Linked DNA regions of Notamacropus eugenii. The protein of the gene in region 2 interacts with the protein of the main gene of each other region in a pairwise test. Links are inferred from orthologs where the notes say so. Each region holds a gene or a part of one and is shown on either strand. Other genes may lie near its edges. The genes, in order: ARR3, DVL2, THAP1 and ZGPAT.

What was found.
Region 1: the proteins of DVL2 (region 2) and ARR3 interact in a two-hybrid assay, tested with the Homo sapiens proteins (2 studies listed by BioGRID and IntAct). The two-hybrid records come from large-scale screens. The link is inferred for Notamacropus eugenii from reciprocal best matches to the Homo sapiens genes DVL2 and ARR3.
Region 3: the proteins of DVL2 (region 2) and THAP1 interact in a two-hybrid assay, tested with the Homo sapiens proteins (2 studies listed by BioGRID and IntAct). The two-hybrid records come from large-scale screens. The link is inferred for Notamacropus eugenii from reciprocal best matches to the Homo sapiens genes DVL2 and THAP1.
Region 4: the proteins of DVL2 (region 2) and ZGPAT interact in a two-hybrid assay, tested with the Homo sapiens proteins (2 studies listed by BioGRID and IntAct). The two-hybrid records come from large-scale screens. The link is inferred for Notamacropus eugenii from reciprocal best matches to the Homo sapiens genes DVL2 and ZGPAT.

The regions. Positions count from the first base shown.
Region 1 is NC_092879.1:100,598,847-100,606,463, forward strand, and holds the start of ARR3 (arrestin-C), read right to left. Parts: upstream 3,293-7,617; 5' UTR 3,195-3,292; coding exon 3,178-3,194; intron 2,925-3,177; coding exon 2,894-2,924; intron 2,769-2,893; coding exon 2,708-2,768; intron 2,545-2,707; coding exon 2,500-2,544; intron 660-2,499; coding exon 460-659; intron 328-459; coding exon 268-327; intron 89-267; coding exon 21-88; intron 1-20. UniProt on the Homo sapiens protein: May play a role in an as yet undefined retina-specific signal transduction. Could bind to photoactivated-phosphorylated red/green opsins.
Region 2 is NC_092873.1:78,832,036-78,839,554, reverse strand, and holds the start of DVL2 (segment polarity protein dishevelled homolog DVL-2), read right to left. Parts: upstream 3,003-7,519; 5' UTR 2,899-3,002; coding exon 2,702-2,898; intron 1,273-2,701; coding exon 1,203-1,272; intron 833-1,202; coding exon 687-832; intron 544-686; coding exon 434-543; intron 247-433; coding exon 111-246; intron 1-110. Other genes in the region: PHF23 (PHD finger protein 23), read right to left, coding at 4,259-4,473, 4,647-5,490, 6,406-6,498, 6,661-6,692.
Region 3 is NC_092872.1:617,706,020-617,714,308, reverse strand, and holds the start of THAP1 (THAP domain-containing protein 1), read right to left. Parts: upstream 3,311-8,289; 5' UTR 207-3,310; coding exon 136-206; intron 1-135. UniProt on the Homo sapiens protein: DNA-binding transcription regulator that regulates endothelial cell proliferation and G1/S cell-cycle progression.
Region 4 is NC_092872.1:496,789,038-496,796,235, forward strand, and holds the start of ZGPAT (zinc finger CCCH-type with G patch domain-containing protein), read right to left. Parts: upstream 3,082-7,198; intron 2,805-3,081; 5' UTR 2,740-2,804; intron 2,375-2,739; 5' UTR 2,265-2,374; coding exon 1,687-2,264; intron 633-1,686; coding exon 499-632; intron 1-498. Other genes in the region: ARFRP1 (ADP-ribosylation factor-related protein 1), read left to right, coding at 3,160-3,371, 5,607-5,700, 6,367-6,454, 6,766-6,848. UniProt on the Homo sapiens protein: Transcription repressor that specifically binds the 5'-GGAG[GA]A[GA]A-3' consensus sequence. Represses transcription by recruiting the chromatin multiprotein complex NuRD to target promoters.

The DNA.
Region 1 (7,617 bases), on a different chromosome or scaffold from region 2:
AGGGTCCTCTAAGCCAGTACCTCTTGTGGATTTTCTCCTCTAGATTCTCAGCATAGAAACTCTTCACTTCATAGTCCACTCCACATGCCTGCAGTGGATGGGGAAGGAGAACAAAGACATCTGTCCCGGATGTGAGGCCACAGGGCTGATGGACCAAGTCTTGACCCTCAGCTTCCTTGGGTTGGTCCCCCCAACTCTCTTCATTGGTCTCTTCCACTTTCTCCTACTGCCCCACTGGCCTGTTCCCCCAGGGAAGCAGGATCTCACCTTTTCAGCATCCTCGGGCCCAGGCTGCAGGGTCACTGAACAAGGCAGATTGGTGGGCAGCTGTCAAAGGGAGGGGGATATCAGAAGGAGGTCAGCAGACAGGAAGGTCAGGGCCTTTCTCCTACTTCCCCTACTCTCTGTGCTCCCCCCCCCCCCAATGCCCAGTTCTGTCCTCCAGGGCTTGGGGCTCACCTGGAAGGTAAAGGGATGGGCACTGTCACCCAGCTTTTGCAGCAGGCATTCTTGAAGGCTTGTGAGGGGCAATGGGGCTTGGGTGGGCTCTTTGGGGAAAACTTGCAGGGCCTGCACATAGAGGTCTTTTCGGAATGTCAGACCGATCACGTCCAGATCATCCCGGCCATAACGGAAGGCACAAGTCAGCACCACAAAGACTGCGGGGAAATGAGGAGGTACTGACATGGGGGCTGGGATGGGCTGGCCCTGAACAGGGCCCTGAATAAGCCCCACAGATGCAATCCAAAGGTAGCATGGCAGAGGGTTGGATTGGAGGCAGGGCTCAATGGGCTCATATCCTGCTTCTTATACTCACTAGCTAATCTCTTTGGGCTTCAGGTAACTCTCTGTGACTCTGTTTTAGGTAAGTACTGGTAGAGGGAGCTTCCAAACCAACAAAATCCCAGGTCCTTGGTGGTGTGACAGTATACTGCTGAGGCCTCATCCTTCTGCTGGCCTGTAAGCTCCCTGAAGACAGGGACTTCAGGATTTTTGTCTTTGTAGCTCCAGCACCTAGGACAGTGCCTGGTGCTTTATTTTAGTCAGTGTGCAATACGTGCTTATCAAATGACTGAGTGAATGTAAGAATAGAGCCCAAGTGAAGGAGGGGCAGAAAGGAGGACAGACAAGAGGGAGCCTCAATAGACTGGGGGGTGGGGAGATGAACAGCAAGGGTAACTAAGTGGTGCGATAGAGCACAGGGCCCAGAGTCAGGATGACCTGAATTCAAATCTGGCTCCAGACACTTAATAGCCATGTGACCCGGGGCAGGTCACTTCCCCCTGTTTGCCTCAGCTTCCTCATCTTTAAAATGAACTAGAGAAGGAAGCGGCAAACCCTTCCAGTATCTTTGCCAAGAAAACCCCAAGTGGGGTCACCAAGAGTCAAACGCAACAAAGATGACGTTAGGGTGCACAGGAGCCCTGGTCAGAAGGTGTCACCGTCCTTGGAAATGCTTATTGTTTGGTAGTGAAACTTTCCTTTCTGCCTTCAAAACAACTTGTCCACTTCTTTTTTTCAAGCTTGAAAGTTTATTTTCCAAAGAAATGTTCATTCTGGGAGGATCATTCTGAAGGCTTTGAGCTTTTCAACTTGGGAAACTCATTTAGCTTACAAGCGTGTTTGATGTGTCAAAGCTCTCCGATTGTCAGAGGCCTTTGAAGCCAATCCCCTCATTTTACAGAGGATGGAATGGAGGTAACACAGAGAGGCCTAGCAAGGGCAGAGCAGAGGCTCAGAAGTCCAGGCTCCTGACCCCCAGAACACTAGGCTCTCTCTGACCTCTCAGAGACACTTGAGCTGCCTCAGCTTACTGTGGCTAAAAGCTTCATTTAAAACCAGCTTTTAACTCATGAGTGATTTTCCAAATCGAGTCCATTTAGGAGGGTTAATATAGGAACCCAAAAACACCCCCCCCCCCAGGGGAAAGCCCCTAATTGCAATTCTTAGTACTGATCTGTCCGTGTCATTTCTTTAGCTGCCTCATCCATGAGGTTAAGTGCCTGGGCTTGGGGGCTTGTGGGCCTTTCTTATCTTGATTCCTGAATTGCTCTGGGACCCCCAGCTCCTCCTCTTCTCTTAGTGACTGGATCTCTTCTACTTGGGATGGGTTACTGACATTGGTTGGCGGGGTGAGACTCTGTAATGGCATCGGGACATTTTCTCTTTCTACCTAATTACTTTAGGACCTGGAGAAGAACAGCGTAGTTTCCCCATCCCAGACTCGAAAGATACAGACTCAAGAAAGATAGAAAGACACATACACAGAGCATAGGTGGGCTCTCTCTGTCTGGCTTTCTATCTTTGTCTCTGTGTTTGTCTCTCTGTCTGTCTCTGTTTCTGTCTCTCTCCATCTCTCTGTCTCTGTTTCTCTCTGTCTCTGTCTGTCTCTGGCTCTCTGCCTCTTTCTCTCTCTCTGTATCTGTGTCTCTCTCTTTCTCTCTTACATGTACACACACACACACACACACACACACACACACACATATGCCCCATTACCTTTTCGATCTTTCAAGTACTCAGGGTCAATCAGGACAACACCATCTGTGGAAGTGGATGAGAAGGCTTGAGGAGAGGTGCCCCTGGAAGGGATCTCCTGCACCCCCCCCCCCCATTTGCTTCCTTCTTTATTTCATGCCTTTATTTCAGGATCCCTCCCCTCCACCCTATTGATGTCAAGATCTCTGGCCATCTGGAGGTCACTGACCAATGGGTTCCACTGAGTCTATATGGTCCACAAAGTCTCGTTTCCCTAGGTAGATGGAAAGCTGTTGGAAAAAAAGCCCCTCCTGTAATTCTCCAAATCACACACCATGATCCCTCTGCTCAAACCTCCCTGAGATTGCTCAATGATGCACGTTGACCTCCCTCCCGCTGGCCTGGAGCCTCTCACCCTCCTATTGAGGCAGGTCTTCTTAAACACCCTGAAGAGTAGGAGACAAAATAGTTATGGGGAGGCAGGGTTTGTATGAAAGAAATGGTTGTTGCTGGAATTAGGGAGGAAATGGTGGTGAGAACATAGCTGGGAATGAGAGGGCAAGGCATGGGGTGAGGGTGGGAAGGCTGGGAGCTATCCCCCTATGCTCACAGCAAGCACTGTTGGGGAGATAGTGAAGACTGGGGGGTATGGAGCATGGGGTGCTCAGGGAATCACAGGGAGTAGAAAGGGTGTCTTACTTGGAGCTGGTGGCCATGGACTCAGTTTGGGAGCACTCCTTGGGTTGGGAGCTGAAAGTCTTGACGTGGGACTTGGTATCTGTGACCTCCTGGGTAACCTTGGGCAAATCACTCCTCTCTGGGCCTCAGTTTCCTGAGCTATAAAATGAAGGGGCTAGATGGGAGGATCTCCGAGGTCCCTTCCAATACCAACACCCACGACCCTCAGAGAGAGGAGGCTTCGGCAAGTTGGTTCCCTGGCACCTCTCCCCTTTGCCAGCTCCTGAGCCCCCAGGAGGACTTTCAGTTGGGGGGAGGATGGTAGATAGTTTACCACCTGGTGCCACAAGAGATTGGTTTCCTTGCTCTGTAACCCCTCTCCCTCCCAGCTGTCACAGGCCCTTCCTCACCCCTCACACACACACACGCACACACACGCACACGTTCTCCCTCATACTTCCCTGTCCTATTTTATATATGCATATAAATGCATATGTATATGTACATATGTACAAAGAACATATATATGTGTGTACATTTACATATACACAATGGAATATTCAATTCAGGAAAAATATACGTGCATTTTTTTCTTGAATAGGCTTGCTGCATATTTTTGGAGACTGGCTGTACTAATGCGTTGGAATTCCCTAATTGTCAGCTCTGAAGGGATAGGAAAGACTCCATCCAGAAGACTTAGACTGGGCGGGGTGCTTCCCAGGTTTAGCCACAGCATATATGCTAAAAGGGAGACCCTGGTGTCTATGGGAGAAGGGAAGTGAGAAGGAGAGGAAGCAGGCAGAATTGGTTAGGAGCAGAGAGAGAAGAGAGGGGAGAGGGGAGTCAAAGCTGGCACAGTCCTGAGCTTTGGGGGCTGGGGGCTGCTCTGCTAAGCTAAGGAAGTGATCTGACAGCCAGACTGTCCACATCTCTGTGTTCAGGGACTGGGGACAGGGAGAGAGAAGCAGGGCTGTGGCTCTGGTCAGAAGGAGAAGACACTTTCAAGGCAATAGAGGCAGAAGTACGGGGAACTAGGGCATACTGTTCTCAGCTTATTGAGGTCTCCAGATCCAAGCGCTCTGAGTGAGACCTGTCTCCTGGGCTTGCCTCTGTGCATCCTTCTGTCCCTGGAGGGCTAGACCATGTGCCCTCAAGCCTCCTCACAAAGGCTGCAAGCATCTTTTGGCTACTGAGGAAGTTTAATGAGCAGGAAAGATCATGGTCTCACAGACTTAAAGCAGAAAGGGCCCTGAGAGGTTAGTGATTCCAACCTGTTTGTTTAGAAGAAGAAGGAAGCAGAGGCCTAGAAAGGGGGAGTGATATTTCCAAGGTCACAAAGACACAAGATAAAGCAAAGTCTAGATTTATACTCAACTCCTCTGCTACAAAGTCTGTTGTCCATCCCCCTTTCTGATGTTCCCTCTCTAAGGGACCTCACTTATTGGAGGCAGAAGGTATCAGGTTCTTAAGTGGGAGTAAAAGAAGTGGGAACAAGGGCCAGGAACCTCCCTTTGACTCAGATCTCTTCTCCCTCCCCACCACTGTCCTCCCCAATCCGATCTCCTCATATTCTCATCCCAGTGCCTGCCTTCTAGCCCACAGTCCCATCGCCTCATGACTAGAAACATCACCAACACCATGAGTGATGCCTGTTGGGCCCCAGGGCTCTTTCTATGCCATCCTCTGGGAATGGAGGTCAGGCTGTGGAGGGTTATGCCAGGCTGGGGTTGAGGGGCCTAGGCCTAGACAGCTCCCAGACTCTCAGACCTGGGTGGCAGCTGGCTCAGCTGGAGGAGGGGCAATTTCCCCTCCCAAACATCCCCTGCTGATGTAGGATTGGCAGACATGGATGGACAGAGGGAGCATGAGATGGAACCGGAGGGGCAGGAAATGTTACCTGGAGAGAAATATGAAAGGCAGCCCAGCCTCCTGCTCTGCTTGCAGTGCTCTTGACCATAGCCCTTTTATAGCCCAGGTCCTTGGGGCAGAGGGGGCTCAGCCTGATTAACTTTGGGGTGGGAGGGGAAGAGAAATAGCATAGCCCCTAATAGCTCAAGAAATAAGAGTTTGGAAAGCAGATTATGAGCTAAGAGATTAGCTCCTAGTAGCAGGAGGTTGGACAGGGAGACTGTGGCAGACCTCCCCAGCGTCCTGTCCTGGAAATGCTCTTTCCCACTTCTTCTGGAATATTCCACCATGTCAGACTGGGTGGGAGAGGGAGTGTGGTCCCTGAGACTGGCAACCAGGCTCACTGGGACCTCGAGGACACGCTGGCTGTGATCTAGGTGATGTGAGTGATGCTACGTGTGGCAATGTAGAAAGATAGTTGGCCTGGGAGTCACAAGGCCCAAGCAAGGTCCTTTCTAGGTCTCAGGCAAGCCTCTTCATTTCTCACAACCTCTACTTTCTCATATCTAAAAGCAAGTTACTAGTCCCAGCAGTGTTGTAAAGCCCAAGTGAGGTGCATGTCTGGATAGATGGCCATTTACATGCATGTGTACGGATCACTGTGTAAGCTTTCAGTCAGTCAGCTGATTGATTGATTGACTGAGGCCCTAAATTGAAAAGAGAAGAGGGTCCAAGATGGAACCTTAGAGGACACTCATGCTTGGGAGCAGAAGACAGATCCAGCAAGGGAAACTGAGGAATCAGACAAGTTGGAGGAGGAAGACCAAGAGAGAGCAATGTCCCAGAAGCTCAAGGAGGGCTAAGAAGGAAATAATAATGACAAGGTCATTTTAAGAGAGTAGGAGAGCTGGAGGCCAAACTGCAAGGAATCTGGGAAGGACTAGACAATGAATGAAGGAGTCTGGGGGTTTTCCCCGAGGACTTTGGAAGTGCAAGGATGGTGAAATATGGGAGCACAGTTGGAGGGATGGCAGAGGCAAGGGGAGAACTTTTTTAAAGGATAGATTGGGATGTTTGCAAATGTATATCCTTCTAAGGTCTGCATATGTACATGTTTGCATGTAATAATATGCGTGTGTGTGTGTGTGTGTGTGTGTGAGAGAGAGAGAGAGAGAGAGAGAGAGAGAGACAGACAGACAGACAGATAGACAGAGACAGAGAGACAGGGAGAGATATAAGGAGTAAGGATGAGGAGGGGAGCCTGAACTTTCACTCTCGGGGGCAGGTAATACCTGGGATTCACAGGTCAGGGGCTAGGAGACCAGAAGGTACCAGTTGGAGCATGGTGCCTTCAGCATCAGCCCTTGGCTTGCAGCCTCCTTCTCCATCTGCCAGTCTCTAGGGGCCAAGCTAAGCCAATGTAAGTGATCCTAAGCAGCTCTAGTGCTTTGCCTGATAGAGACAGAGATTGACGCTGGGGTTTATTCTTGGCCCTCCAGTCTGCTTAGCTGCCCTCACCAGCCCTGCCCACAGGCAGAAGATGATCTCTGATCTACCTCGGAGCCAACCTTAACCTGCTTTTCCTGATGGTTGGTGTGGGCAGGCAGGGCTCACCCAGCTGGGAGCAGGGCTCTTATTTTTGTCCTTTTCATTTTTTAGAATTTCTTTTTTTGTTACATTTTGAGTTCTGAGCTGTCTCCATCCCTTTGTCCCTAACCTGAGTTAAAGAAGGCCAACATTTGACACAGGTCTACATACACACAGACATATACAGACATACACAGACATACACATATACATATATGTACAGACAGACACAGATACATACACAATACAGACACACAAACACATATACACATATACATACACACATGTACACACACACACAGAACCATACAATACATCCTTCTATCCGTCAGTTCTTTCTCTGGAGGTGCATGGCATTTTCCTTCGCCAGTCCTTCATAACTGTTTGGATGATCCCATTACTCAGGACGGCTCAGCCGTTCCCGGTTACTCTTTGAACAGTCTCTCTGTTACTGTATATGATGTTCTCTTGATTCTGCTCATTTCCCTCTGCGTTATTTCATGCAGGTCTTTCTGGGTCTTTCTACCACCAATGTGCTCAGTGGCAAGGCTCTTGCACCCTGCCTCGCCAGGGTCTTCTCTTTCCCAGGTCCCAGATACCCTGCTCTCCTCTCCTAGTCCTGCCTTAACCGAAGCTGGCCAAGAAGCAGCCAGAGGTCCCTGACTTCTGAAACGCATCCCAACAAGGGACTGTGAGTAGAAAAGGGAATTTCAGAGTTCATTAACACAGATGTGGAGCATTGTGGGTGATGGGTAAGGTAAGGGTATGCCCATCCCTCTGGGTAGCTGAGATGGGCTGGGCTGGATGACTGGATCATGGGAAATCCATAAGCTGAGGAACTGGGAGGTAAGGGTGTTTGAGGAATATCAATATGTACATTAAGGGCAGGAATTGGGGAAAGAAGAGAAGGAGGAAACCACAAATAGGGGAATCCCATTCAAAATAATGAGGAAATACGTGAAATATCGCAGAGTCAATCTACCAAGACATGCTCAAGACTGATAGGAATACAACTGCAAAGCACTT
Region 2 (7,519 bases):
AAAGAAAAACAGAGATCTAAGGTAAGCAGAAAGAGGAATCACATCAGCTTCAGGTGAGGAGGGGAGTAAGGAGTGTGGGGACAGAATGGAAAGGGAGATATAAGACATACCTGCTCATGGTATCATCCTCATCTGAATCTCCCAGGCTGGTGTTCTCCAGTTCACTAGTTAGTAGAGTAGAGGAGCTCTCATAGCCAGCCAGGTGTCGCTCCAGGCGGGAAGAACCACTAGGCCGATGGCCCCCACCTTAGTAAGATGTATGGATATAGGTGGCTGGACTTCTGCTCCAGGGAGATCCAAAGTCTAGCACCCTATGTCCCTGGTTCTCCCCTGCCCATCTTTCACTGCTCCTATCTCCTTTTGGACCCAGAATGTGCATACTGCACAAACCATGCCTCCTTTTCTCAGAATTTAGGAGTGTGACTGCCCTTACCAACATGATCAATGCTCTCTCTTCTCCTGGACCGCTCCCGTCTCAGTGATATTACTGACTCGGTTTCTGTCTCAGGTTCCAGGTTCTCTCGGCTGCTCGATACATTAGGGCTAGAAAAGGAATGGGGTCAGGGAAAAAGGTAATGATGATGGGATTCCTCCTAAAAGCAATGATGATCAGCCAGCCCCAGAATCTAACTAGAAGCTGATCTTTTCTCTCCCTCCCATCACCAACAAGGCTCCCCAGTACTCACTGGAAGGATGGAGGCCTTGAGTCCCCAATGCCGCTAGTCCTTTCAGGAGGGAGGGGAGGCAGTGGTGGGGGTGGAGATGAGGGTTCTGCCCGAGGTTCAGGGGCTGGGGGAGCATTCTCTGGCTGTGGGTTATCTGAGGACACAAGCTACAGAGGTGGGGAACAGGGATGAAAAAGGACTTTTAGGAAAGGTAAGAACAGGGTAAAAGTTCCGGTGGGGAAATGATTCTAGGAGGGAGGGAGAAGAAGATGGAGATGATAAGGAGAACCTGGAAGGGGACCCAAGATAGAAAAACAAAACCTAGAAACTCAAAGAAAAGAATCTTGAGAGTCACATAGAATGGTAAACTGGGGTTTATGAGACTGAAAAGTTGTTCTGAGGGAAGGGAATAGGAAAAATCTGAAAGCGAGGCAGGGGCAAGAGCAGAGTGGTGAGGAGGCGTTCCTTTTAAGGAAACTGGTGGGGATGCTAATGTGGAAGAATGAGGGTCCCCTCATTCCCCTCAAGCCACCTTACCCAAGAGACCACTCTCCCATTGAAGCAAGGCAATCGGGCATTGTCATCTGAAATCTCTTCCTTCACCACGCTGCAAGGAGATGAGAACAAAGTCAACAGTGCTAGATGAAATAAGGCTGTTTCAAAGGTTCTGCCTTTGAACATTTCAGCCTTCTTTTTGAGCCCCTCCTAATGTGGGGCATTAGGGGGGGTCTTTTAAAGACAGTTAGCATTTCCCCTCCTCACTCCCTCAAGTTAATAACAGCCCAACTCCTCATCTCCCTCTAGGAATCCCCCTACCTAGTAATTCTTCCTACTTACTTCCTTTTCCTTTTCTTTTCAACCTAAGAACCTGGCAGGAGTTTTAAATGTTTCTTGCGTTTACTTGAAACTTCTTAGCTTAACTTTCAAGAGTAACCCCCCCAAGCTCACCCAATCTCCTTAAACTATTTGTCTAACCTTAAGGTCTCTCTACCCCAGTTGGGTAAACATGGTCCCCCTTTCTTTTGCCCCTGCTTTACCTTCTCCAGACATCAAGTCTTTGCAGAGATGTGTCCCCCTTACTTCCCAAATCTACAACTCTTCCTAATTTCCTAATTCTGTTCCAATGGGAGTCTTGACTGATCTCATTTACCCCCAGCTTTCATTCCACTATTACCTACCAGCACTCCTGTCTGAAGCTCTGTCCAGTCAGTGAATGTTTTTCTTTCCCCTTCCCTCTGATCCATGTCTAGAAATCCTCCCAAATATATACCATCTGCACCTGGATTTCTGCATGCGTCTAGGTGAGCACTCTATCAGACTGGCCAAGGGTGAGGGCTGTGTCTCTCCCATCAGGGTGGAAACTACCCTCCCCATTCCACCCCAAACTTCAAAGGAATGACAACTCTCCCTTTTTCCTTTCCCCAGCGCAAGATTTCATAGAATGCAAAGAGACAGACCCACCAATCCTGCAATGCCCAAATTTCCTAGTCTTCCTTCCCTCTGTAGGTCTCTTTGATCCACACCTCCTCCAGGAGATCACACTGACTTTGTCCCCTAACTGCACACCCTCCACCACTGGCCTTTCGGGGCACCTCACTAACAGCCCAGGATTCTCTCCGTCAGGACGAGGAGACACGGCCCAGCACACTCAGTCCCCAGCACTATCCTCGTCATCAGAAGGATGGCTTACCTTCATTTATCACTTTTTGTTTTAAGTGTGACAAAAGCAGTGCCAACCTCGTCACCCAGAAGTCAGTGGGAAGAGCCTGACTGCACGTCTAGAGACCTGGGTTCTAATTCTGGCTCTGACATTGACTATCTGTGTAACTGGGCAAAGCCACTTAACCTCTCAGTGCCTCAGTTTCCACATCTGCAAAATAAGGTTCGGTCTGATTTTCCGACGGTCCAAAGCGGCACGAAGCCTTCTACTTCTCCCCCCGGCCTCCCGAGCGGCATCCACGCCCAGGGCTGCGGCCCCGGGCCCCGCCACGCCTCCCGGCCGCGGCCGGGCCCTGGGCCCCGCGCCCCGCGCTCACCCGAAGTCCTGGTCCATTGACTTGAAGTAGTACTTGGCCCCGGCGGGGCGCTGCAGGACGCTCTTAAAGTCTCCCAGGGTGATGCGCTCGGCCGGGACCGGGATCTTGACCAGGTACGGCGTCTCCTCCTCGTCCAGATGGTAGATCACCTTGGTCTCGCCGGCCCCGCCGAGCCCAGCGGCGCCGCTGCCCGCCATGGTCTGGCCCGCGTCGCCCTCCCCGCCTCCGAGCTCCCCTCTCCTCTCCCCGCTCCCACCAGCCCCGGCCCAGCCGCCGCGGCCGCCGCGCCTGCGCACACGGCCGCTCAGCCCAGCCAGCCATCCCGGGCAGGCTAGGGGAGGGGGAGGGGGCGGAGCCCGGCCCGCTTACACCTCCGAAGTGGACGCCCTCCCGGCGTCCCCTCCCTCCCACCCAGCCCCACGCCACACACTTCCCACTGCCGCCCCCTCACGTGACACGGTACGCCTCACTTCCGGCTCCTCAGCTCCCCTCGGTCACGTGAGGACTCCCCAGCCTCTGCCCACCCACGGTGCTGCCGTCCCTTCCCCCGAAAACTCCCACCCCCTCACTCTTCCCTCATCTTCCCTCTCCCAATCCCCAGCCGGGGCCCGCCCCTAAAATTACCTCCAGCTCTCACCATCGTCCGGGGACCAAGAAAACACCTTCCTTCACAGACCAGCCCTCTTCTTACACCTCTGTCCCCACACATCCTCACCATGCCCCCCAGCCCCGAAGAACAGACACTCACTCGGAGCCGGCTACTGGGAACTTTCTCACTTATGGTCCAAAGGCTTACGTTCGAGTGTCTAAACCAGGAGACCTTAGAGGGCTGGACACGGGCTAGACCTCAGCATTTTGGGGGGAAGAACACGATCGCTTAGCCTTGCTTTCCCTCCTTTTCTCCATCAGATACATATCTTCCAAGAAGGAAAGGACAAGGGTCACAGGGCTATAAACACAAAAGAGCCCACTGTTTTATTTACAAACACGCGGTATGTACAAGCAGCTGGCCAATATTATTAAAACAAAGAAGTGGGGAGATGATGGAAATATCACCTGTCCCCCACAAAAGACAAGAGACCCATGTGTTACGTTCCTTTAGGCCACCTGAGCCAAAAGGTTTTCAGAAGGAAAGAAATGGGGGAAGAGGTTTGAGAAAATAAAAGGCAAGGGTCCAAACAAATGACAGAAGAAAGGGGTGGGCAATGCTATATTACACTAGAGGTATAGACAACTGCCTCACCCCACCCTGATTCCAGCCCTAAGTCTGGGCTGGTGGATATGGGAGTGAGCAGGGTCAACTGGCAGAACAGTGAAGGGATGAAGTAGGGAATCTTAGGAACAGGGGCATCTTCCTGTTCAATGGGTCAAAATTCAAGTCCTAAAGTCTTTAGGGAAAGACCCATTCATTCCCAAGTAAGCCTTCCTTGAGAATCCCCACCCCATCATGGGACAGTGTTCAAATCCCAATGGATCAGTGGCAACATTGGGACCCCGTCTCAGTTGATGATGTCTGTGAAGAGTTCCGACTTGAAGTAAGAAAAGTTTGGATGGGTCCTAGGGCTCTCCAGGCTTGGAGAGACCACCAGACCGCCGGGCCTCTGGCCGCAACTCCTTGCACTTCTGGCAGTAAAATATGTCAGGGACATTGGTCTTCTTAATCTTAGCACATGAAAGATGGATCCATGTTCCACACAAACTGCACTCAATCATGGGCCTCCCTGCAAAGGGCTTCTGGCAATAACAGGTGATCAAGTCCCATGAGTCATCACCTGAGAGAAGGGATGGTTGTGATCAGATTTCTGCTGAAGACTCACAGTCTAGAGAATTTCAAGCATTCCCCCCTCCATCCCAAAGAACCCACTCCCTTCAGGGACAAAAGTGTATGTTCTTCTGTCTTCCCACCCCTACTCCCCAGAGTACTTCCCTCAAACACCCTTCTTACCTGATTCTACCATGATGTCCTCATCCATTACCCGCATTTCACCCTCACTGGAGCTCCCATCCCCATCCTGGCTTGTCTCTGTGCTCCCCACTTCCTTGGCTTCACTCTCAGCAGGGATTCCTCCTGGGGGGGTTGAGGTGAAGGGCCGGGGAGCCTCAGGGGGTGGAGGGAGTGCAGAAGCTGGGGCCTCACCCCCACAACTGCCTGCTACTGCTGTTGTCACTGCTACCATTTCATCTTCCTCCTCCTCCTCCTCCTCTTCCTCTTCTTCAGAGTCTGTGTCACTGGGAAGAGCCCGAGGGGGCCCAGAAGGGGGGGGTCGATCCCCCCTTTCCGGCTTTTTCAACTTTCGTTTCTTACTCTTCTTTATTCTTGACCTCTTCTCACCATCTGCAGGAGCTGATCGAGGTCTCCGAAGCACTCCAAAGCTTCCTCCCCCTCCTGGCCCCAATTTTCGGTTCTTTCGGTCCTTTTTTCGGGAGGGTTGAGGGAGATCCTCCTGGGAAGCAATGACAGGGGTGAGGGTAGTAGGGGGCCGAGGGACATGTGTTGGGGGTGCGGGGACCAGAGGGGGTGCCACTTTGGGTCCATCCAGATCAAAGAGAGAGTCCTTAAGCTTCATCTTCTCAAGCAGTGTAGCATTGTCAGAGGCCTGCAGTCGAGGGAAGGTGGGCCCTGGTGGAGGGGGACCTGCTTGAGCAGCCCTCCTCTTAGAAGATTTAGCCTTTTTGACAAAAGTCTGGATGGTTCGAAGGTCTGAAGGGGCTGAATCCCAGCCATCACTATCTGCAGCACTCTCTCCCCGAAATGGTGAACTAGAGCCAGAGGCTGGCCAGTCACTTTCCTAGGGGTGGGTGGGAAGGGAGGGTTAAGTGTTGGTGCCCCCTTTCAACAAAATTCCAACTCCATTTCCCACACTTGCAAGACACATCAGACTTAACCACAACCGGGTACTACAGCAGTCATCTAATACCCTGGGTCTCTTGCACACAGTTAACTTCTCCAAGCCCAACCAATTCAGATTATCTAACCAACCCACCTACCTCCCTATAAATGCCAACAATTCAGCCCCTAAACTAAGCAGTCTCCAAACATCTCCATGAAGTGTCTTTTGTCACTAGAACCCATATCTCCCCCCCATGATCTATTATCCTAACCGTAATTCTAATAATAATAACCAGACAGTACACAGAACTTTTAAGGTTTGCAAATGGACTTCCTTACAACCTTGTCAAGCAGACAGTTTAAGTGTCATCCCGATTTTATAGATGCTTATGATCATCGATAGCAATTATCTTGGACAGGATTTGAGCCAAGGCCTCATGACACTAAATGCAACCACAGATATCTTCAACCTTACCTCCACAAGATCCCAAGAGTGCCCCCAAGACTCTCAAAAACTTTTCTGGCACACCCAAAATAACAAACAAAACCATCATTCCCCAATTGTCCTAGTTCCCTAACTTGTCCCTTCCTCCTGCAACTGCCTACATTAACTTTATCTCCATTAATTCTAATTCTCTTGAACCCCCATAACTTCTCCATTTTTGATATCCTTTGATTCTCCATCCTATCACATCGCCCAACGCGAAAAAAAAAACCACATTTTTTTCTTCATAGACCTTCTAGATTTATTTCCATAACTACCCTTAAACTCCCCTTTACCCCTTCAATCTCCCTAAATCTTATACAATAGCCTTCCCTCCCTTTGCCCTCACCCAAATCCTTCACATCCCATCCTTAAGATCATTGCCCCTACCTCTTTGCTGGAGGGAATGTAGCCGGCATATGCCAAGACAAAACTGCAAAATTTGTTGAAATCCTCAATTGTTCGCCTTCGTTTTTCAGGGGGCTACAGAAAAAGAAGGAATCAGACACCTGGATTTTCAAAGGGAACAGTGGTCCAAAAGCAAAGTTCCCCTGAAAAGAGGTAGAAGGAGTAGAGATCTGGGGGAATCTTACATGTCTGGTTCCCTAAAGAAAGTTTGGGTTGAAGTAGGAAGGGAAATCTCACCTGGGCCTCTGGCTTCAGGTTTGGAGGAAGATCTGAAAAAATCAATAAAAGCCCTGAGTCAAGGTACTGGAAAAATGTACATGCTTCTTTCCCCAAACGTTGTTACTCTTGAAGGACCCCCCACCTCTCTTTCCTCCCTCCCTTCCCACAGGAGGCATGAGTGATTGTGCTCCCACTTTCTTCCTAGCTAATCTTCCTTGTTCCAGTGCCCAGTCTTCTCAGAGTGCAATGGTTTACATGTGCCCTCCCATGTTGATGTTTCTCCAGGTTCTACTCTACTTCTTTCCACTGTTACCCTTCGTGGTCCCAAGGGCCCCTGGCTCCTCCTTTGCCCTTTATTCTGGGCTCCCATTCCCAATCCCTTTGGTTGGGACACTCCCACACACCATCAGGTCCTGTGCCCCACCACTCTAGTCTCTGGATTCTCTTTTCTGGCCAGTTCATGCAGAATCCCTTGTTCCCACTCCTCAAAGTTCTCAGGTTTAATCTGGCTTTATTACACCCCTCCTCATCATCAATTCTCAAGACCTGGTTCTCAGGCCTGGACATGCGGCTCCCCTCCCCCCACCCCCCCACTCAATTAGAGTTCTCAGGACCCTATTCTCTAATTTGCAGATCTCCAGTTTATACTGTCCATATTCTGTCACTACCCCCAGGCACAATACTTTCACACCCCAAAACTCTCCACTCCCTTCAACCTTCTCCCAGTCTCTGGCTTCTCAGCCGGGAGGGGGTGGGGGGAGAGAGAGGAGAGGAAGAAGAGGGAGGCCAGCCCTCAGGCTCCTCCGTTTCCAGCCTCTTCTGCCTCTTCTGCCGCTCCCTCCTGCCCATTTTTCTCCCAGCCAAAGTGCCCCCTTCT
Region 3 (8,289 bases), on a different chromosome or scaffold from region 2:
GCTGCCACCGCCGCCGCCGCGCTCCCGCCAGGACACGCGCCCGGCTCCGCCCCCTTGCCTGACCCTCCGCGCGCCCCCTCGCCCCCGGTGAGGCTAAGGTTCATCCCGTTCCCGTGCCGCTCTCCGGAAACTCACTTGTGAAAGGAAACGGGTTTATCCTTGTCGTAGCGGTTCCTGCAGCCATAGGCGGAGCAGGACTGCACCATCCTTCCGGCTTGGGGCCGTAGGGGCGGGCAGGAGCAGCTGCTGCCGCCGCCACCGCGCACCTGACTTAGACACTTCGCTGCCCTCTTTAGAGCCAGCCGACCGAAGCGGAGAAAGTTCGGCTCACTCCAGGACGCTTTTAATACGCCTGTATTGTTGTTTGCATTAGCAGGATCGCAGCCATCGCCCGTCTGCTCCCATCTCCAAGATGGCGGAGGCAGCTTCAACCTCACCTCTCGCGAGGAGCTGCGGGCGTCGGCTCTGATTGGCTTGTCGACCCGAGGTAACGTTCAGTTGGATGCGGGCAACAGGCGGAGTCCCGACACCTTCGCGCAGAGCTGATTCGACCGGCCCTTCCCTCCCCCTGGGAGGCCATGGGGGAATGGGGCGGAGCCTACGGAGTTGGCGGAATGGGGCGGAGCCTGCGAAGTTCGCGGCGGCGAAGCCCGAGTTTATTTCTGGAAGGCCGGGTTGAGGCTTGGCTTGAGGGGAGGGGCCCGTCGTGGGAGCGGGCGGGGGATTGAAAGTCACGAGGGGCGGAGCGAGGCGGGCGCAGGGGGCGGAGAAATCACAAGCCCCGCCTACAAGCCCTGTTTTCTTGGGAGAGGCAGCGCTTGGAGTCCTTGAAATCGATAGAGGTGTAGCAAGCGCTCGGCCCTCACCTTATGAAGGATAGGGAATGCCTTGATCGGCCTTTGGGCAAGGTTTTCCTAGAAGAATTCTGTAAAGACAGGGCTGGAAGGTGCTTAGAGGTCTCGCCCCGAGTCCTGCCTCTCGAGGAGGGGCGGGCCGAAACTGCTGCTCACAATATCGCGGATCGATTCATCGGCGATAGCTCCGCTTCTGGGGGGCGGGGAAGAGGGAGGCGACTAATAATTTGAACCAAGCTCTGTAGGTGCCTTTTTTAGAACAGTGGTTCCTAATTATTTTTTATGTCATGGGCCCTTTTAGTACTCTGGTGAAATAATAATAATTAAGAATTTGCAAAGTACTTGGCCAACATCTAACTTCATCCTCACAGCAACCCCGAGGGGTCGGTGGGTGCTATTAAATCTAACTAGATTTAAAACAGAAACCAAGCAGGTGTATGTCCCACACAGACACCCCTCCAGCTCTTCATCATCTCCAGGATTAGATACAAAATCCTCAACTTGGAATTGAAAGCTCTTTATGACATTCCTCTCCCTGGCCCCTACCCCATTTTTTCAGTCTTCTTACTTGACCTCCTCCTTGTTGCTTTTTTTTAAAAATAGAATGTTGGATTTTTTTCTCTGTTGCACGTAAAAACGTTAGCATTCTTTTTTATAATTTTTGAGTTCCAAATTCCATCCCTCCCTTCCTCACCCCCCCCTTCCTTCAGAAGGCAAGCAGTGTATGTATGTATAGATTAAACGTGTTCAGTCACGCAGAGTATTTTCATATTGCTGCTGTCCGTTGGAGAAGATAACTGCATATTTTCGTTGGCTGTCCTCCGTGCCTGGAATGCTCTCTCTCCTGGCTTCCTCCAAGTCCCACCAAAGATCCTTCTGTAGGAAGCTTTCTCCCATCCTCTTTAATTCTAGTGCCCTCCTCTCTATTATTTACAATTTATTCTGTATGTAACTTGTTTGAACATAGGTTGTTTTAATATTTCACAGTCTTTTACTTTTCTTTGTATTCTCAATAAATTACTAAAGTCTTAGGTAATTAGTAATTCGATAATTCACAAAGAGTAGGTTTTAATAAATGTTTATGAACTCTTTGTGTTCCCCATTTTGCAAATAAGGGAACTGAGGCAGACATTAAGTGACTTGTTCAGGGTCACACAGCTGGTGTCCAAGGTCTGACTTGAACTCACATCTTCCTGGCTCCACATCCAGTTTTCACTGTGCTACCTAGTTGCCTAACTGGACTTCTCAAAAAAGTGTTTTTAAATTAATAAAATGCATAGTATTACCAAAAAAACCAATTATTTTGAAATACTTATCCAAACATGTTTTTAAAAAGTTTATACACCTCCTTAAAAACTCTTACTTGAAATTTGCTAATCCTCAGACTTTACAGAGGGCATATGACTTTATCCCACTTCTTAATGATGTACTGCCTCATATATATTTCAAAATATTTATTAAACACTTTTTGTGTGCAGGGCTTCGTACCAGTCACAGGAGGAAAAGCTGAGATTACAATTTAAGGAGCAGCTAGGTGGCTCAGTGGATAGAGCACTGGCCTTGGTGTCAGGAGGACCTGAGTTCAAATCCAGAGCCTCAGACACTTACCAGCAGTGTGACCCTGGGCAAGTCACTTGACCCCAATTGCTTGCCTCCCTTCCCCCCCCCCCAAAAAGAGAATGCTAATATTAGAGAACATTAGCCTTAGAGAATGTTAACATTTCTCTTGGAAATTTTACTCTAAAGCCTCATCATTCATTATGTGGAAGTAACCCTAGGGTTTTTAATAGCATACCAATGGAGCACAGTTTTTGGCTGGGCCTGCTAAATTGGAAAGATTTAGAATAAACTCCAATACCTAGCATGTGATTGGAAGGGGATTGGTGCTATTGCAGCCCAAGACAGTGCTAAGTTTTGGAAGGGCTGTTATATGCATTGGTAGACTGAAGTACCCAGAGGGAGGAAATGATGGCCCTTCTGAAGTATTAAAAAATTAACATAAGGGAAAGGAAGTAATATTTAGGAAGGGGAGATAAACCATTTCTCTGAATGTAGAGTAAATGGAAGGATCTTTCAAAAGTGGTTCTAAGCAGCATTCTAACCCTTAACCAAACGAATTCACCAAGTATCTATGAAGCTTCTTCTCTGTGAAAGGTACTGGGCTAATTTTTGGAGAGTCAAAAATGACTTTCCCTTAAAAGACTTACCTGTTATACTGATGGATGTGTCAGCGTTCACAGAGAAGTCAGTCACAAAGGTAATTTGAGGAGAACATTAACAAATACAATTATGGAAGTGCAAGGCTTCACTCAAGGGGCACATTTAGTTAAGCCTTGGAAGAAGGGATTCTTAGATGTGGAGATATGATGGGAGTGAACTCAGGCATGGGTTTATGTCTTTGAATGCCCAGATTGGAGGAGAGGTTCCAGGAACTGCAGCCCTGTTTAATACGAATGTGGAGCTCAGGAAAGGAGTAACAAAATAAGGCTGGAAAGATAAGGCGGAAGAGTTTATATTTTATCTTAGAGGCAGGAGGGATTCTGGCAGCTGTGTCAATAGTCACTAAACATTTATTAAGGCCAACAATGTGCTCGACACTGCTTAGCAATGGGAATTCAAAGAAAGGCATGGAACAGTTTGCTTCCCTCAAGAAACTCAGTCTAATGGGGGAGGGGGGGGTGGGGAATGGGAAATGATCTCAGGAGATGTGAGTTGCAGAGTGGAATTCATTTTGCAGAATGATGAGTTTCTGGAGGTCAGGAAGTACTGGAGAGCACCGTTGGGAAACAATGAGGTGAATTCCCTGGATGCCCTTCTTCAAAGATGAAGGAGCTCTCCAGGGTCTGTCCTCCATCCTCTCCATGGGGAGGCATACCGGAGCCACAGGGTTATGGGGAAGTGTGAGTTTCAGAGTTGAATTCTTCTTGCAGAACGATGAGTTTCTGGAGATCATTCAGGACAGCAGCCAAGTGGGAAATGAAGGAGAGATGGCAGATAGGAATGGCTGGAAATAGGGAGTTACAAAGGGCTGAATTAGGGTGGTGACTGTGTGGAAAGAGGGGCATAGATTTTATGGAGGGTTAAAGGAGAAGACGTGGCAAACCAATGAATATGAATGACAAAACCTAAGATTAGGACATAGTTATCACCCACCTGTACTATTATAATACATAGGGACCCTTAACTTGGGGTCTATGAATTTATTTTTAAATATCATTGGATTTCCTTTGTGATCTTATATGGTTTACGTATTTAAAAACATTATTCTGCTAAGGGGTCCATAGACTTCACCAGATTGCCAAAAGGGGTTCATGATACCAAAAAGATTAAAAACCTCTGACCTATACCCTAGTGTCTTCCCATTTCAAATACAATGACTTACACTCACTTCTGAGTATTCTATGCTGGGGGAAGGTGATTTGTCTGGCAGCCTGGTGTGATAATTTGGTTACTGGCCTTGAAGCTGAAAGATCTGGATCTGAGTTCTGCCACTGCCACTTTTCTGTCCCAGTGATTCTGAGCAAGTTATGCTCCTTACATCTCTGTTGTATCCTCTGTAAAATGGGGGTGGGGCTAGTAATTCACAACAAGATTGTTATAAAGAAAGTGCTTTGTTAAATAAAGCACTCTAAAAATGTGAGCTATCATCATCATTGGCCTCTTGCTTAAAACCTGACTTGCCTCTTTCTGTTAATGGTCTCCATTTCTTGGTGTTTTAGGCTGTAAACCACAGTATTATTTTTTACTTCTCCCTTCCCTCTAACCCCCACATTCTCATTTTTCTCTTCTGTAAAATTAGATAAAAATAGCTTCTATCTCACAGAATTTTGAAGATAAATGAAATAATGTTATGTAAACAACTTTAAAAACCTTGAAATGCTATGTAGCTGATTTAGAATTTATGCTACCTGCTGTTTGTCCTTGTTCTCCAAGAGGACCATGACATCAAGGAGGAGACGCCATGATGTGCAAGTGAAATGGATTTAAGTGAGGGAGGGCTGTGCAAAGTCACCAGCCTCAATTCCTCCTCCAGAGGCATCAGGGTCCAGTGGCCAGATATGGATCAGCACAACTGGAGATGGCCCAGGATGCAGTGGGGGTCTTTGGCCTTTTCAAGCTAAGTTTAATAGGTCTCAATTTGACTTGAGCATCGTGCATTCAGTGATTAAAACTTAATAAAAAATGAGGCAAAGAATGGCCTCTTTAAAAAAAAAAAAAAAAAGGATCTGAGACGGGAAGACCCTCAAGGTTTTTCACCAAAACAGAAACGATTGTTATTTTCATTCATTTTGAGCCAATCAGGGCCCAAACTGAGACCAAGTAAGGTTTGGTCTAGGACTACAGTGATTTGGAGTTAAGGATGCTCTTTTATTAAGAGAAAAAAAAACAAAGCTTCAGAGAGTAAAACTTACATTCCCTTTGGGCAGAGCACTGGCAGGTAAGTGTATGATACCCTATGTGGAGGGAGAATAAAGAAAAGGAAGGAAGGAAAGGAGAGGAAGAGGAAAGCAAATAACCTGTGTTGCCCACCTGTCAGGGAGGTAATACCATGACATGCAAGTGAGTTTTTATGATATATGATAAGGATTTATGAAGGGGGTAGGGAATGGTAATACTAGTTTTACAGGCCTTACAAAATAGTTTCTTAAAAAGAACTAGTTGAGGGTAAGGGAGGGGGAGAATTTAGGACTCAAAATCTTATAAAAGTGAATGTTTTAAACTAAAAACAAATAAAAAGAACTAGTTGACATGGCATATTCCCAAATCAGATCAGAAGCATTAGCTCTTTCTGACATTTTTAAGAGTTCTATTTTTATAGAAAGTGCAACATTGGGTGGAAATGCTAATTTGGTTTATTAACTATAATGATATAAAACTGAGCTGTTCTTATTGATCAGAGCCAGCTAATTAATCAGTCATATAGAAAATTAGTGCTTGGACAAAGAATTCTTATTTTAGTATGGATATAAAAGGGCATTTTTAAATACTTGTTTTTAAAAGTAAAAATAATTTAAGATATCAGATGTCATGTTGCTTTCAAGTAATTACTGGTTCTCTTTTTTTCAATTTCATTTTTAAAAGATTCAATCTTATCTGTAGAACAGTTTGTAAGCTAAAACATCATCACTAGAGTGGGAGGGTGGTGCTTATTAATTAATATTGAGTATTCCCCAGAGAGACATATTATTCTGTCCTGGCTCTGCCTTTGTGGTAGACCAAGGTATAAGGATGGTGTTAGTCGAAGAATATATGCTTTGTTGACCTGTTTGGGAAAAAGGCTCAATTCTGATCACAAAAAAGGAACCAAAGGCAAGAAATGTAATAATTAGACTTTTCTTGAAAAGGCAATCTGATTATGACTAAATATCATAAAGGACTTAAAGTACCTACTTACGTAGTATTCTAGGGAGCAAAAAGATACATGCAAATAAGAACAGCGAACATTCAGAGCAGATAGTTTTCAGAAAATTCTGAGAAAATTTAAAAGTTAAACATGAATAAACAGAGTCAAAAGGGAAATTCATTTTCCTAGACAAGGAAGAAAAAGCACAAGTTAAATGGGCAAAGGCAAAAAGTCCTGTGTAAGAAAATCATGGTGTTATATGCTAATTGTCCAGTCTGCTAGTTTTATTAGTTGTGACAAATATGACAAATACAAATAAGAAATGAAAAAGCACTTAAGCTTTCACACATTTGAGTTTGGAGCCATGGCTAAGCATGAAAGTTGGCTTATTTTTCTTCAAAACTTACACATGACTTAGAGTCAGGAGGCCTGTAGTTTTCAAAGGGGGAGCAAATAAAATATAAAAGCCTATGAATGTAGAACCAATTAGTAAGAGATACCACACTCATTTTTCAATTTTTTTTGGCACATGGCAAAAATTAATATAGTAAATTATAGGTACAATGGGATGCTTAATACACATTAGTAATAAATGAAGCAGGAACAACAGTTACATCGAATACCATTTCATGGTACCATTCCACGCCTGTCTTAAAAATTTCTGAGCACATCCATTACAGAAGTAATAGCAGAACAAACATTTGAGATAGGCTGCTTTTATTTGAAAGAGCAAATTACTTGCACATAAATTCAAAGCTTAAACTCAAGTATTATTTCTCCATAACAACAACTGTGAGGTAGATTCCACATAGTAATAAGGGATTCAGGTTACTTTTGTGTTCTTGTTGCAGTGACGAAGATTCACCACTGAAAAGCCAGAAACTGTGGTGCTTGTGACATCTGACCAACGGACGGAGTCTGGGCAACCGTCTAGACTCCCCAGATAATTGATCAATTTACTATATACTCCTGGGGGCACTCTGTATAAATCACTTTGATTTGTGTGATTTTTTACCTTGGATCATGGGAGTTATAGCTGAATTCAAACACTGATTAAAAAGTGAAGTACTTTACTTGGTTTAAATACATTAAATTTAAAATCTCTTTATATCCATTGCCAGAATTGAATGCAATGAACTTAAGACGGTCCATAAATTTTAAAATGTCCTTTTTTAACTTGATGTGGTTTCAAATATTACAATTCTTAAAATGCTACAAATTGTGATAAAAAAATACCTTTATCCAGCATATTAAAATAAAATCAATGTTTATCAGAATTGTAATAGTGGGTAGTGTAGGTAGAACATACATACTGAAAATTTCCTTTTTCCACAGGATAATTCAATTTTGTACCCTAAGTAAGGTTTATCCTTGACTTGAAGGATTCCAGAATCCCTCAGTTGAGTAAATGTAGGTATAGCAAAAATTCTCATAGCTGCTATTCTTCCCTTTTATGATGAGTCACTGTAGGGATTAAGGTTTTATAAACAATAGTGAGAAAGTATCTAGTCCATTTTCTGCTTGAGATTCACACCTAAATTATCCCACAGAAATGAAGAAATATATCCAGAGATATATTCTGGTCTTTTGCTCCAAATGATAAATCCCCAAATCCTTCTTACCTAAATACAATATGGTATGTCACCTTTCATATCATTTTTGTATCTACTGTAGACATCAATAGCCAGTTATTGTCCTCCAGCACAGAAAAAGCTGAAATAAAGTCATCATTATTGACATTTTAGAGTCAGTACCAAGTTGATGTCTGTATCTGAATGAATTACAGATAAGATTTTCTGATTATTTCCCTCTTGATGCCAAGGACAGTATTACACACAGTAGGGGCTCAATAAATGTTTACCAGTAAGGTTAATAGTTTTCATTATCTATCATCACTGATAAATTAGGAACTAGCTGTCCCTTCATACTGTTACTGTGACAAAGCTCATTAAAAAACTATTCCAGGTTAAGTCAATTGAGGAATTTTAAGAGCACATGTCAACTTCCAGGAAAAGAAATATTTTTCTTACTCATTTTGCCATCCCACCAATGTGAAACACACCCCAGGCTTGAACTGAATTAGGCAGCAGG
Region 4 (7,198 bases), on a different chromosome or scaffold from region 2:
ATTTACCCCCCTGTTCCTCAAAGGCAGGGACCATTTCCTTTTTGTCTTTCTACTCCCAGCATCATGCCTGCAACAGCATACACTTGGTAAATGCTTGTGGACTCAACGGCCTGCATAAAGGTCAGTCTTTGACCATGTGTGAGGGATCAAGTTTGCTTCTCCCAGGTGTCCTACCTGACGGCACTGAGGACCGAGCCACAATCTTTGACTTGTTTTACTGCTACATTCAAAGACCTTTTCAATAACTGTTTCCATGAATATTGTCACAGAAGAAGTACAGTGAAATGAATAGAGGAAGAAAGGAAACAAAGACCATTCCATTTCAGTACCTGATATATGATGAAAATAAGACATCAAATTTTAACAACTAACTGATTTTATCTGAATCTCAAAAAAAAATCTGATATCAGATCTAGCTTTCAAAATCACTGGCATGAGGCAATCATTTCAAGACACTGATTAAGGAAACCCTCAGTCTTCCCTGTCTTAATAGCTTACCTGTGATCCTCGCTGGATACCAAATTCCATCATCGTACTTAGCTAGACAGGCTGAGCCTGTGTGCAGGGCACTCAGGTCTGGCTCCTGAAAGGGACGAAGCTCATCCACAGCAACTACTTGCCCATGGGAGAACCTGCAGAGATTAGGTTAAGCACATCAAATATTCCCACCCATAAATGGCACTAACATCAGGTACCAAGAAGAAGCAAATCCAGTACCTGTCAGAACTTGTACTCAAATGCAGAGAATCAGATAGATGCCAAAAAAGAGGTAACCCATTCAAAAATAATGGAGAGTTTGAGAGCTGTTTTATTTTTACTATTTTTGGTGGGATAGGTTTTTGCAGTAAACTCTCAACTCTCTGGGAGTGGATTACTAGCTCAGTGGTTTCTCCACACTTCCTTTATGATAACCAGTTAGGTCCCACGTTCCTAATGTACAGTTAAAGTAAGAGCTCGCTCAGGTTATTCCACACAAAATCAAGCGTGCAAGTCTCTGATTATATATTTTTATCATATTTTTCACACCACTGCTCATTTAGTTGGGCTGAATTCTTTTTCAACAAAAAAGGATATGTAAAATCAAGGAAGAAGAGTCCCACCAGTCAGCTTAAGGCCAACATAGAAATATGCCTCTCCATAAACCTTGCAAACAAGAACAAAACCAAAACCAAATAATACCCTTCAGCTTTCCCTATTCCACCCAGTCCCTGTCCCTCCCCAAGACACATGGGAGTAAAGCCCACCACTGCATCTCACTGGACACATAGGGTACTCACTGTGGGTGAGTAGCTACAGCATTTTGCAAGGTTGCTTCACACATGTGCGATACAGGAGAACTCAAAGCACTCAAAGAAGTATAGTCCTATTTAACAGAGGAGTAAACCAAGGAGTGGAGAAGGGGAGATGTGCCTAGGATCAAACTATGGTCCAAGAACCCGCCTCCCAAAATGCACCCCCTCCACCAAAAAAACTCCAAACCCTAATTTCTAAACACTGTCATGCCCTATATTGTACTAATGAGGGCAAGAAAACAATACTGAGAATGCCTCATGCACCTCTTGGCAGCATGAGAAATGACTAAAAACTAAACCAATCACTCCCAACCATTTCAAGCTGAGGCTGTTGTCCTCAGTTGACTGAGTGTCTTCTGGTACCTGTAAAGACAGAATGGCATGAGAGAATTACCTGCAGTTCTCTTTGAATCGGCATTTTCCCTCCAGGAAGAAGGGACAGGGCTTTAGGGACTTATGAGTCGGGTAGAGATAGAGCACACGAACCCCTGCTGTGCCATCCTCTGACTGCTCTGTCCCCACAATCATGGCATTATGGTATTCCAGAGTGCCCCAGGAACTGTAGTAGGGAGCATTCACCTTCATCCCACTCAACTCTCCCTCTTCCTCCTCTTCATGCCCAGATCTGTCAGGCTCCGTTTCTCCTCTTTCAGGAGAGGTTGTAGTTTCAGCACCTTGAGTCTCAGAATCTGTTACTTCACGAATGGCATTCTGGAAAGCCAAATACTCAGCTTCATCCCTTACTGCGCTCTCAATTAGGCCAAGGCTTGGGTCCAGTGTGGCCAGGAGCTTACTCTTCTTGATGGACACAAGACTGGACTCAGTTAGCTCGATGAGCTGCTTTAAGTCAGCCTGCAGCTGAAGCAAGTCAGCTTTTTCAGTAGGGTCCAAGCCGGTCCCCAGGGCCAGCTCCACTTGCTGCAGTTGGACATGGTAGGTCTGGATGGAAGCTTCCACACTATTTTCATCCATCCTGCAGAGGCAGTCTGTAGCTCTTCTGATGATCTACTTGAGTATCCCTACATCCTACAAAACGCTGGCTAGGAGGCAGCTGTTCCACAAGCACCTTTAGGAATCACGATCTGCAGAGATGAGGAATAAGGCCATTTCAAACAGATGCTTAATCACAACAGAAGTCCTGGCGTTTGGGCCCCATCCCCCCTCAGGCTAGGGGAGGCATCATCACTCCTGTCAAAGGACAGCTACGCCAGAGCAAGGCCACTCGCGAGGGCAGGAACCATGCAGTCCTTTAAAATTAAGGTTCCTAAACTTAAAGCTGTCATGTAGTCGGACAGGTCTGAAGGGAAGATGGGATGTCAAAGTTAGTGGGAGGAGGAAGAGACAAAGGCCATGGGGAAGAAGGAAGAGGGACTGGATGAGGCCGTGGGGAGGGTGGAAGAGGGAAGGGAGGAGAGGAGAGCCGGTGGGGGGCGGAGAAATTATTTACCTTGTACAAATTGTGTACTGACTTAGCTGCCTAGATCTTATTTCCCACCAGTACAACGTAAGCTCCTAAGGGCAGAGAAGAGAACAAGGTGGAGGAGAGGGGAAGACTATAACGAAGAAGACGGGAAGGGGGAGGAGGAAGGGGCGGCGGTGGGAGCAGGGTGGTGGGGGAGGGGAGATGAGGCCTAGCCCTTGGGCGTCCTCCGCAGAGACCTCGCCCACAGACCCTCGGTGGAGGAATCGTTTCTTCATCTCTAGTCCTGCTCCCGAGCCCCGTCCTCCCTGCCCAGGTTTTTTCGGGCCCTATTCCCTCAGTAAGCTCAGTGTCTCTTCAGCCTCTCACCCCTCAGGCCTGGGAAGCAGCCGCCGCCGCCACCTCCACGGCCGCCATGAAACCGCCGCTCGGGCAAGACAACCATAGATGCCGTACTTGTTCTGGCTAGAGAGGCCCACAACAGCTCCTCGATTCCCTCACTGGGTCGCCACGAACCCACCGGAACTCCCTCCCCAGCTTCTGCCGTCCACCGGAAGTGCAAGCGTCATTGGAGCTGACGACCCTACCGCCCGCGGACTTCCGGTGTCTGCTGGGATTCGTAGTTTCCAAAAGGCCTCTCCTTTCTCCAAGAGTTCGGTGTGGACTCTATGTCCCAGAAGTCATAGCGCCAGGGTCAGCGAGAGAGGTCGACTCTTGCTGGCGGTAGAGGTAGTGGCCCGAGAGGGTCTCGTTCGGCCCTAGTGGCTGTAGTAGCCGTCGTTCCGGCTCCGTCTCTGAGGCGCTAGGCCGCAGGTAGGAGCCCCGCAGCCCGTTCCCTGTTGCTTCCTCACGGGCTCCACGTTCGTTGTGGAAGTTCCCGAGCCGCTGACTTAGGAGTTTGAGGCCGGACCAGAGAGTTCCCTCTGTGGGGAGGGCCCTTTGGCCGGAGCCGGCCTCTCCCTGGAGGCGAAGAGGAAGCGCATGGGTCGCTCTGAAACTCAGGCACGTCCCCTCCCTCCTGGCCCAGGCCGCGTCTGGGCCACAGGACCCAGTTTCCTAGGTGACGCTCCGGGCCCCCTTCCACTACTAGACTACACCGCCCCCTCCTCCCACTTCCGAGTCGTGGGTTCATCTTGCCCTCCCACTCCCCTTCTGAACCTGTGTTCCTGCACTGCCCTCTCGCTCCCCATTTTGGAGACCGTGGCGTTACGTGCCCCTGCTTTCGAGAGCCTTGCTCCATCTGAGCTAATAGGAATACATCGCTCTCAGCCACTCTTTCTTTTCCTTGCCCAAACCCCCACCCCTACCCAAGAAAAAAAGGAAAGAAAAATAAAGAAAGTGAAAAAAAGTATGTTTCTAATGTTCACTCAGTTCCTTAGTTCTCTCTTTCTGGAGAGGGATGGCATTTTTCATCACAAATCCTTTGAAAATGTCTTGATTCATTGTATTGATCAGAGTAGCTGAGTCTTTCACAGTTGATCATTATTACTGTAGAGCTACTGTTTATATTTGTTGTTCAGACTTTTCAGCTGTGTCTGGCCCTTCTTGTCCTCATTTGAGGTTCTTGTTAAAGATACCGAAGTGGTTTGCCATTTCCTTCTCCACCTCATTTTACAGATAAAGAAACTGAGGAGAACAGGGTCAGGTTGACATGTCTAGGGTTGCAGAGCTAGTAAATGTCTAGGGCTGGATTTGAACTCTGATCTTCCTGACTCCAGGCCCAGCCTTCTATCCACTGCCTAGTAACTGCCTCAATATTGTGTTACTGTGTACATTGTTCTCCTGGTTCTGTTCACTTTGCATCACTTCATATAAGTCTTCCCACGTTTTTCTGAAGTCATCCCCCTCCATTCCATCACAATCCTACCACAGCTTATTCAGCCATTCCAAGACCTTTTTCTGAGCCATAAAGTCCTATTCTTATCTCCCACCCCACTTTCGTTTATGAGCTAACATCAGAACTAGTGAGTCCCTGTGTGGGTGTCCAGATCAGTTGGTCTGCCTACTGATAGAACCCCTCTTGTCTTACTGCTGAGCCAGTAGGTCTGTCCTATCCTAGTGTTCCAAACCATTATTTGAAAACTAATACTCTTCTCCTTATCTGTTAGTTAGTTCAAGTCAGTAGTAAAGGAGATGGTTCCCTCAGTGAAAGATTAGTCTTGTTTTTGTTGGCTGTGGTGGAGGTGTTGGTTTGACCCATGGAGCACAAGTTATGGGAATTTATGAGGCCCCTAATTTTTTCCCCATAACCTTTAAAATAACCCTTAAAAGCCCAGAATCTCTGGGTTATAGTGTTTCTCAAGAGAGAAAGGGACAAGTTTCTGTCTAGGTGAATGATAGTGGCCCCCATAAAAGAGTTGCTGTGCTATGCCACTTTGGTCCTTGGATATTTTCAGCTGTAGGCCCTTATGTTGAGAGAAGTTAAAAGGCCCATTTAGCCTGCTGAGAAGCACTCAGTCTAGCTCACTGTATAAAGAGAAAGCAGAAACTCACCCTGTTACATGCCAGTGTCTTTGGGGAAACTTTTCCAGTCACATGGAAAGAGCAGTGGGATAAGCCTAGTAGTATTATGACATTGTTATCACTGATCTTCCCAAAAGCTTAAAGTTTTTCAGTCAGAACCTAATCTTTACAAAATTTCTAGGGAATAAATGAGAAGTCTGTGGTATAATACTCATTTTGCCAATGAGGAAACAGGTTGATTTTTCTCAAGATTACACAGCAAAAGGAGCCTAGAATAGGATCCTGGACCTTCTGGCTCAATTGTTTTATCTGTTGTTGTTACGATCATTACTGTTGTTATATTGAAGGAAGCAAGGAAGATGCTGTAAGGAACAGAGTTCCCCAGCAGTATTCCCCAGTAATTCCTGGTTTCTTGTACTTTACAGGAGCAGGATGTATACACTCTTATCAGGGCTTTATAAGTACATGTTCCGGAGAGATGAATACTGTATCCTAATCTTGGGGCTGGACAATGCGGGAAAGACGGTAGGTAGTTTCTTTTCTGGTTACCTCAGTTCCTTTTTGTAAAATCTATTTTGCTACTTTTTTTTTTCATTCAGTAAAATTTCAACTGATTATGTGATAGCTCAGCTGTAAGTCTGAGAAAAGGTTATTGTAAGTGATTGTAAGAAAGGAGCATTTTAGAAAGGGGAAGGAGTGATCTTTGGATCTGTTTTTCTGAGACAGTTATGATAATTGGAGTGTACTGGTTAAGTGTTTAATAGCTGGGTCTCAAGTGAAAAAAGTTCATACAACACAATTTTATATTTAATCTGCATTCTTAACATTTCCTTTATCATTTTCTTAAGCCCAGGCAATCAGTAAGACAATAAATCACACTTTTATTATAGCATTTCTGAGGTGTAAATACACTGAAAATTTAAATGTCATTTTTCAAGAGTTGGTAGGAGCTAGCTATGGCATATTCCTGGATTGTAGAAACTAACAGATTTTTGGAGCTAAAAATGAGCTCAGCTGTTCTAATCTAGCCCTTTCTGAAATCATGAATCCCATCAACAGAATCCCTAATAAGCATCATTTCACCTCCACTTGAAGATTTCCAGTGACAGAGAACTCTTATCCCTTGAGGCAGCCCATTCCATTTTGGACAATTTTAAACTTACCTTCTTGTTTGTTTTTCCATCTACCTAGACTTTCCTGGAGCAAACGAAAACCCGATTTAACAGAAACTACAAAGGGATGAGTTTATCCAAAATCACCACTACAGTGGGCCTGAATAGTAAGTGGATCTTTTGGGGTTACAGAATCAGGAAAGCAAATAGATATAGTGTGACAATATCTCATGATGACCTAGGTGAGATAGCCAGGGAATAACAGATTATTCATTGATCTTCTTATGTGGTAAAGGAAAGAAACTGAATTTCTGAGAGCTGAATACCTTCCTTATCTCAGTGATTGCTACTCTGTGGAGTAGTGGGGAGTTATTTTGTTTTACTTTCAGATGAGAGATTGGGGAAAATGAAGTTTGTGTGACTGGGATCTTGTATTTTACCTTTAATTTCTCTTTTCTTCCTTCTTCTTTCCTTGAAGTTGGTACTATTGATGTGGGCAAAGCTCGCCTTATGTTCTGGGATTTAGGAGGACAAGAGGAATTGCAGTCTCTCTGGGATAAGGTAAGAAAGGAACTTTCTTTTTTTCCAGGCCTGTCCTTATGCTTAAGTTCCATAAAATTTTTAGAAACTCTATGGTCCTGAGGATAGTCCCATCACAAACCAGATACTGAGCTAGGTAAAGATAGCTCTTTGGTAATTTTACTGTTCAAAACCTCACAGTATGAATATTTTGACTTCTTATAGGAAGCAGCTTTACAAATAACTCCTAGAAATCTATCTGCTCAAACATACTATTTTTTTTTTGTTCATGCAGTTAGAAGCTGGAGTTTCCAGATGCCAGTTTCCAATCTACACTTAGTAATAGCTGTTTTCTGCACATCAGTGTCCTGCAAAAAAAAAAAAAATCTGTT